2 linked regions of the Cricetulus griseus genome follow. The protein of the gene in region 2 purifies or fractionates together with the protein of the main gene of each other region. This does not show direct contact. Links are inferred from orthologs where the notes say so. Each region holds a gene or a part of one and is shown on either strand. Other genes may lie near its edges. The genes, in order: Fgd1 and Sh3pxd2a.

Region 1 (4,341 bases), on a different chromosome or scaffold from region 2:
GTTTCTCTAGGATATTCAAGCAATGCTGTCTTATAATCAGCTCTATGTCTGGGCCAGGAGAAATGTCTGGATTTGAATTATTTTAGAATTATCAGCAAAGAACTGATAACCAAAGCCATGGAAGCAAATGAGACACTGAAGGACCAAAGAGCTCAAGAGAAGACAACAGAGCTCAGGCCAATGATACCAAGAGACAAGGAAGAACCTGAAAAGGAAAAAAGGACGAAAATAAACATTGTATTATGTCATAGGGAAGTAATTTCAGGAGGAAGGAGTGGTCACTAGCGCTACCCAAATGCTACCCAAAAGCCAAGAAGGATGACCTCTGAAAAGATTCTTTTGGATTTAGTGACATAAACTATGGTAGATCTTGATAAGAAAGCAGTTTGGGAGAAGTAGTGGAGGTGAGTTGGAACAGGGTTAAAGATAAGTAGGAGGTAGGAAATGAGGTAGTTGAGTGTGAGCAAGTCCTGAGTCATTTGTGAAAAAAAAGAATGTTTGGTGATTGTTTTTTAGATGAAAGATACCCGAGGTGTATTTAAAGTCGAGAAGGAACACGGGGACAAATTCAGAGATTTGGTGGCAAGAACTCAAGACAAGACCTCTTCTCTGGTGTCTTCTGTTCACTCCACGTAGTAAGAGGTAGGGTTTATTTGCTTAATACTAGGGGGCAAATTCAAGATGTTGGGGAGACTAGATTTGAAATGGCCACTGTGGGTGAGATTTAAATAGGGAATAGTGGGGAAATGCAAGAGAAAGTTGACTACTAGTAGAGCGATAGGTCAGTTCTGAGGAACTTGTAGAAGCTGGGAAATGAGGGTTCCTCATGATACAAATCTAGAAAATTGTAGTATTATCCAGTAGTGTTCAGCTGCCTGGGCACAAGTATTGGGGGGAAAGGCAAACAGTTGGACCGATTCAGGATTGGGTTGCTGCCAGTCGGATAACGGACAAAAGAAGGAACTAAGGCTGCAAGAGTGGGAAGTAAAGGACCATGAGATCTGGCCTGAGGAAATGAAGATTTGCAAAGGATCACTATGAGCCAAGCCTAGCTTAACTCCGAAATACGTGGAAAGGCTTCTTTGTAGGAGAGTGATGGGAGAGCGGAAGAAGACATGAAATACGACGGAAGGGTAGATTTTGGAAATCGAGCTGGGAGACTTGCCTATGTGGGACCAGGGAAGGATGGGAAGGAAAACTGAAGGGAAGTTCAGGGCCAGCAGAAAAGGAGGGCCTTAAGCTCCTGCGAGAGGTGAAACTGGCCCAAGCGAGGGGGCGTGGCCAAGCTCAAATCCCGACGAGGGGGCGGGACTCTAGTAACTGGGTCCCAGCGCCGCGGTGGCTGCGGCTGTCTCAGCAACGGCTCGCGCTTCCCCATCCCCCCCCCAGTTCCCAGGGCTCTTCCCGCCCGCCGCGGTGGAAACCCAGGCCCAAGGCGGAGAAGCCCGGTCTGGTCCGTTCCTCTGTTCGCGAGGCTGGAGCATCGTCCTGGAGGACTGCCCAAAGGCAAGCCTCGCAGCCAGCCGGAGAGCGCGGCGCACACGCGCGCCTCCCGGCCACGGCCGTCCTCTCTTCCCTCCTTCCTCTCCTCTCTCCCCTCCCCTCTCCTCCGCCCCCAGCCTCCGCTGCGGCGGGAGGAAGAACCCTTCCCGACCAGCCCAGAGAACCCAGGTCGATTCTCATTCCGGCAGAAAGGAGAGACCCCCCTCGCTGGGATCCGGCTGGCCGCTCGCCCCCGGCCACGGAAGTGACTGGCCGTCCATCAGGAGAGCCCGTGCCTAGCGCAGCCCCCGACCCTCGCCCAGCCGCAGCCGCATAGACAGCGCTCCCCAGCGGGCCCCCGGCCCCGCCGAGCCCACTCCCCGCTTGGGGCCAGGGCCGGCGATGCCTGGCGCGGCAACGGCGGTGGCCGCGGCTACTGCTGCTGCTGCCACGGCTGCTGGCCGGAGCCCGGGTCGGGGGCTCGAGTCTCCGCAGTGGGGCTGAGCCCGCAGCCCCGCCCCCCGAGCCTGAGGCCGCTGCTCCGCCGGGCGCCGGGCCTTCTCCGCCCGCGCCTCCGCCCCAGGAACTGGAGCCAAGCGGGGAGCCCGGGCCCCGCGCCCAGGCCCGGACCATGCATGGCCACCGAGTCCCGGGGGGCCCTGGGCCTTCGGATCCCGAACGCTTGGCGGCGAATACCCCTGGCGCCGCACCACTGGCCTGTGCCGACTCGGACCCTGGAGCCCTGGAACCCGGACTGCCGGTGCGCCGGGGCTCAGGCTCGGCTCTTGGAGGGCCTTTGGATCCTCAGTTTGTGGGACCCTCGGACGCCAGCCTGGGAGCTCTTCCAAGCTCCCGGGTCTTGCCCTGCGGCCCTAGTCCACAGCACCACCGGGCCCTGCGCTTCTCCTACCACCTGGAGGGTTCGCAGCCTCGGCCTGGTGAGTGATCCAGACGGCATGGGAACCTGGGCCACGGGCCTGGTACTGGGAACGGGTTCTTGTTCTAGGGCTTAGGGCCGATATGCTCACCCTAACCCCTTGAGTTCCCACAATACCTCTTCCTTTTCCCTCCTGCAGCATTCCGTCCAGTTCTTTCAGCCTTTGCTCTTCTCTGTCCCTTGCGCCCTCAATCCTTAAGAGTCCTTTCTCTTCTAACTGCTGAGGCTAACAGGAGAGGAAGCACTCCCAAGAAAAGGGGGCAGGATTTGAAGGCAGCAGTGGGGATGTGGTTAGGGGAATAGGAGAGAAGTCTCCCATTAGCTAAGTGCCTACATTTGTGCATGGCACTGAACTGGGTACTTTTACAAGGGTTCTAGTTTCAGCTTCAGGAGCCATCTGAAGTGAGTTTCATCAACCACATTTTTAGGGGTGCAGACTGAGGCTCTGAGAAGTAACTTGTCCAAGGTCATACTGTCATTATGGTGCCTGGATTCAAAACCAGAGCAGAGTCCAAAATCTGTGGTCTTTCTGTTTCCCCAAACTGAAGCTAGACATAAATGCTAAGCTTTCTACTTATGTGATTTCCCCTTGTACTATTCAGTAGCCCTGAAGTGTGAGAAAGAGAGAGAGGGAGATGGTGGACTGATCCTAGATTGTGCTTTTGCTAGGTGTTTGTGGCCAAAGTACAAGGGAAGGGCGGCACAGGAGGTACTGATGAGAGAGAAAGGTGGAGATGAGCCTGAAGGAAAGGGCTCAAGGGGCTGGTAGGTAGGAAGAGAGCAGAAAGGTCAGAAGGGAGAGCTTCAGGGCCAGCAGATTGTTTGAAAAGATAATCAGGATGGTTGTTGCTTGGGTTTGCAATGGTGGAACAACTCTAGGTCAGACGGGCCATAGACCTGGATGGGCCTTTTCATAGCCTGAGTATCTGAGCAGCCTAGCAGAGTCTCTAGGATAGTTTCACACGGGCCTTGAAGGGAAAGCAGTGAATATCTGCCCTGTCTTCATTGGGACTGAAGGAGGTGGTGAGCGTGCATCTAGCTGCTTCCAGGGCTCCTATCTCAGCTTCCACAGGTCACTAGTACTATGGCTCAGTACCAGGTAACAGTAACAGTGAATTGTAAAGCACAGGCAGTGGCTCTCACTGCTGTCTGTTCTTTGGATAGTTATGGAACCTCTGGGAGATTTTAGGCACCCCCTCCCCCTCGTGAACTGGAGATAGCCAGCTGACAACCCTTTAATGGCCTGCCCTGCTCGTTGCTTCTACTGCCTTTCCAAACTCCCCTGGACACATGCTGTGTAGAGGAGGCTAATCAGACATACTTATTTTATTTTAGTTCCTCCCTGCACATCCCCAGACACCCACAACTCTCCCACTGCAGAGCCTTTGCATTTGCTTTGCCTGCTGCCTGCTAGCCCTTCCCTCAGCCCTCCACCTGGCTTGCTCCTCATCTTTCTGTTCTCAGCTCAAATGTCCCCTCTGAGAGACCTTCCCTGACCACTTTTAAGTAGGGCCTCTTGTGAATCTCCATCACAGCTGCCAGTGTGTGTCTGTCCTTACATTTAATACAGTCTGAAACTACCCTCTTGTATGTGTCTGCTTGGTTTTGCTGCTCCTGTGACAGAATGTGCGCTCCTTGCGGGCAAGGGGCTTGTGCCTGGTTTGTTCATTATTGTATACCTAAGGAACTAGTGTAGTGCCTAGTACAAGGCAAATATGCAATAAATCCTTGTTCAACAAATGTCTGAATAGATGGTAAGGGAACACACAGTAGGCCCTCTGTAACTATTGCCTAAGAGGACACTGAGTTCCCACCCAGCAAATACTCTTTGTCTGGGATTCAGTAGCTAGGAAGGTCTTGACCCTTGGTCTCTGCCCTCTCTAGTCAACATGGGGTTGATACTGAGCTTGCTTTTCTACTCC
Region 2 (3,804 bases):
CTGACTGTCCATGCAGCTTATACTGGCTGCCTCAGAGCAGCACCAAGTAGGTGCACAGAAAACGGCTGTTTAAAAAGAACGTGGCTCATGGCTCATAGGCCAAGTGTTCTAAGTGTCCTTAAATACCGCTATGAGAGAAGTTGTGTGCCAGCGCCTAGAAATCATATAGGCGTTCTGGAATATTCTGCCTGCCTACTGAAACAGGGCTACATTCTGTTCAGGGCACCAACAGGCTAACCTCCTCCCAAAGACCCCTCCCCAACCAGCTGCCCCCATGCTCCTACTTCACTGTCCTGAGGACGGCTGGCTCCCTCACCCTCTTCTCCAGAAGCTGCCCACTTGGCTTAGACCTTAGACTTATAAAATGGTGGTTTCCATGCTTTCCGTCTTGGGGTCCAACTCTTGTGACCTTTATAGGAAGCATCCCAAGAGCTCAAACTAGTGTTGTCTGGACCGTGAGTGCCATCTGGGGGGAGTCCTGATGTGTAAGTGACAGCTGCCTTCAAAGCCAGCTGCTATCCAGCTAGCAGGGATGGCCACAAGCACCTGAGGAGCCAATGGGCACCAGTCACTGGCCTTAGTACCGCTCTGATTAGCTCTATTTGCTCACTGATTGTTTCTGCTTTAGGGGTTCCAGCTGCCAAAGCCACCAGAGCCCCCTTCTGTTGAGGTAGAATACTACACCATTGCTGAATTCCAGTCTTGCATTTCTGACGGCATCAGCTTTCGGGGCGGACAGAAGGCTGAGGTGAGCCTCCTTTGGGCTAAGGATCTGCTTCATATTTTTTTGTATGTCTTCTTGGCAAGGTTTCTGAGGGTCAGGCAGGGCAGGTACCGAAGTGAGCCTGTGGCCATGAGTACTACTTGCCTAGTGGGGGAGCAACCAGGACTAGAGCCCGAGACTTGGGTTTCTGCCCTTCGCTTGCTTACAGTGCTTACCCCATAGTGGCATGTCCCTAAACATGCAGGGTTGAGCACGACAAGCCTGGAAATGAAGTGCTGCTGAAGGTGTGTGAACTTCCAGGGCAGAACAGTTTGACAGTTTGCTTCATCAGGAATGTTTTATTTGGGAGGACACACACACACACGCACACGCACACGCACGCACGCACGCATGCATGCAGATCAGAGGAAAATATTGTGTATTGACCCAAGAAATCCTAATGAGATTTTGTTGAGGTTTTTGTGGATACTAGGAGGACATTTTGCAGGGAGGATCTGATCTCAGGCCTGGTTTATGCCTCTTCCCGTTCTCACCTGAGAGACCCTTTCAAAGGGTACTGGACATGGGTGGAGATCGGGAACAATGGAACACTGGTTCTTTATCCATATTGATCCTTCGCAAGCTGGTTTTTGTAGGGTCTAGGAACAATGTGCTAGATTTGGGGGTGTTGTGGAGTTATTGGCACAGACTTAGGGAGCCTCACAACCAGGACCAGGGTTTGCATCTAGCCTGCCACTGACTGCCATAGGTCTCAGAGCCACTTATTCAAGATCTGTGTCTATAAAATAGGCCGAGTGGGACATTGTAGGGACCCCGAGACCCCTGGACTCACCGGCCTGTCCCTCTTCCCTCAGGTCATCGATAAGAACTCAGGCGGCTGGTGGTACGTGCAGATTGGGGAGAAGGAAGGCTGGGCCCCCGCGTCATACATTGATAAGCGCAAGAAGCCCAACCTGAGCCGCCGAACCAGCACCCTGACCCGGCCCAAGGTGCCCCCGCCTGCACCCCCCAGCAAGCCTAAGGAGACCGAGGAGAATCCTGGGGGTGCCTGTGAGAGCCAGGACTCCCCACTGAAGCTTAAGTATGAGGAACCTGAGTATGACATCCCCGCCTTCGGCTCTGACTCAGAGCCTGAGCTGAGTGAAGAGCCCACTGAGGACAGGGCCTCAGGTGACAGGCGACCTGCCCAGCCCCGAAGGCCCTCACCCGCCTCCTCCCTGCAGCGGGCACGCTTCAAGGTGGGCGAATCTTCTGAGGACGTGGCCCTGGAGGAGGAGACGATCTATGAGAACGAGGGCTTCAGGCCCTACACAGAAGATGCGCTGTCTGCCAGAGGCTCCTCTGGGGATAGTGACTCCCCTGGAAGCTCCTCGCTGTCCCTTGCCATGAAAAATTCCCCCAAATCAGGGTCTCCCAAATCATCATCACTGCTAAAGCTCAAGGCAGAGAAGAATGCCCAGGCAGAACTGGGGAAAAACCAGTCCAACGTCTCCTTCTCCTCTTCCATCACCATCAACGCCACCTGTTCCTCCTCCTCCTCCTCCTCTTCCTCCTTGTCCAAGAACAGTGGCGACACGAAGCCACGCTCTGCCTCAGATGCAGGCATCCGTGGCACCCCCAAGGTCGGGACCAAGAAAGACGCCGATGTGAAGGCCGGGCTGGCCTCCTGTGCCCGAGCCAAGCCATCGGTCCGACCAAAGCCAGTCCTGAACCGAGCCGAGTCTCAAAGCCAGGAAAAGATGGACATTCGCTCCTTACGGCGCCAGCTGAGGCCCACAGGTCAGCTGCGGGGGGGCCTCAAGGGTTCTAGGAGTGAGGACTCAGAGCTGCCCCCCCAGACAGCCTCTGAGGGGTCCAGGAGAGGCTCTGCTGACGTCACTCCCCTCGCGGCCACCGGCCCCCCGTGTGTTCCCAGGATGGAATGGGAAGGGCAAGGCACCGCCTATGTGACACGCAGTGCCTATCAGAAGGTCCAGGGCTCCGAGATCAGCTTCCCTGCGGGCGTTGAGGTGCACGTGCTGGAGAAGGCAGAAAGCGGATGGTGGTATGTGAGGTTTGGGGAGCTGGAGGGCTGGGCTCCTTCCCACTATTTGGTGCCGGAGGAGAACCAGCAATCTGACGCCGCTGGCAAAGAGCCAGACTCAGTGAAGAGCACTCAGAATGAGGGCAAGTCGGACAGTCTGGAAAAGATCGAGAAGCGGGTTCAAGCGCTGAACACCGTGAACCAGAGCAAGAGGGTCACCCCACCCATCCCCTCAAAGCCTCCTGGGGGTTTCGGCAAGACCTCGGGCACCGTAGCGGTGAAGATGAGGAACGGTGTGCGGCAGGTGGCAGTCAGGCCCCAGTCTGTGTTTGTGTCTCCACCACCCAAGGACAACAACCTGTCCTGTGCCCTGAGGAGGAACGAGTCACTAACGGCCACTGACAGCCTTAGAGGTGTGCGCAGGAACTCCTCCTTTAGTAGTGCACGGTCAGCAGCCGCCGAGGCCAAGGGCCGCTTGGCAGAACGGGCTGCCAGCCAGGGCTCAGAATCACCCCTGCTGCCTACCCAACGCAATGGCATCCCCATCTCCCCCGTGCGTCCGAAGCCCATTGAGAAGTCTCAGTTCATCCACAATAACCTGAAAGATGTGTATATCTCTATTGCAGACTATGAGGGGGATGAGGAGACAGCTGGCTTCCAAGAGGGGGTGTCCATGGAGGTGCTGGAGAGGAATCCCAATGGCTGGTGGTACTGCCAGATCCTGGATGAGGTGAAGCCCTTCAAGGGCTGGGTGCCCTCCAACTACCTTGAGAAGAAGAACTAACAGCACTGGGTCCTTCCAGACTCAGTGTGCTGCTCTGGCTGCCACTGAATGAATGGTGGCATGCAGACAAGGGGAAGGACAACGGGAGGGGGGAGGGGATGACAACATTGAACCCTGCAGAATATGTGACCCCCGAAGACACCCTCCAGCTGGAAGGGAGGGTGTGATGGGTGCACACACTTAGTAGGCGAAAGGGAATAGTGGGGTTCTCCTGGGCCTGGAACCCCTGCACACACACTGGTGACTTTGCTTGTGGGCCATATGCCATTGCAT

The links.
Region 1: the proteins of Sh3pxd2a (region 2) and Fgd1 purify together in Homo sapiens (affinity purification with mass spectrometry; 3 studies listed by BioGRID and IntAct, with this or other methods). This does not show direct contact. The link is inferred for Cricetulus griseus from reciprocal best matches to the Homo sapiens genes SH3PXD2A and FGD1.

Annotation. Positions count from the first base shown.
Region 1 is NC_048604.1:108,419,614-108,423,954, reverse strand, and holds the start of Fgd1 (FYVE, RhoGEF and PH domain-containing protein 1), read left to right. Parts: upstream 1-1,328; 5' UTR 1,329-2,113; coding exon 2,114-2,420; intron 2,421-4,341. UniProt on the Homo sapiens protein: Activates CDC42, a member of the Ras-like family of Rho- and Rac proteins, by exchanging bound GDP for free GTP. Plays a role in regulating the actin cytoskeleton and cell shape.
Region 2 is NC_048596.1:14,278,652-14,282,455, forward strand, and holds part of Sh3pxd2a (SH3 and PX domain-containing protein 2A), read left to right. Parts: intron 1-628; coding exon 629-748; intron 749-1,578; coding exon 1,579-3,531; 3' UTR 3,532-3,804. UniProt on the Homo sapiens protein: Adapter protein involved in invadopodia and podosome formation, extracellular matrix degradation and invasiveness of some cancer cells. Binds matrix metalloproteinases (ADAMs), NADPH oxidases (NOXs) and phosphoinositides.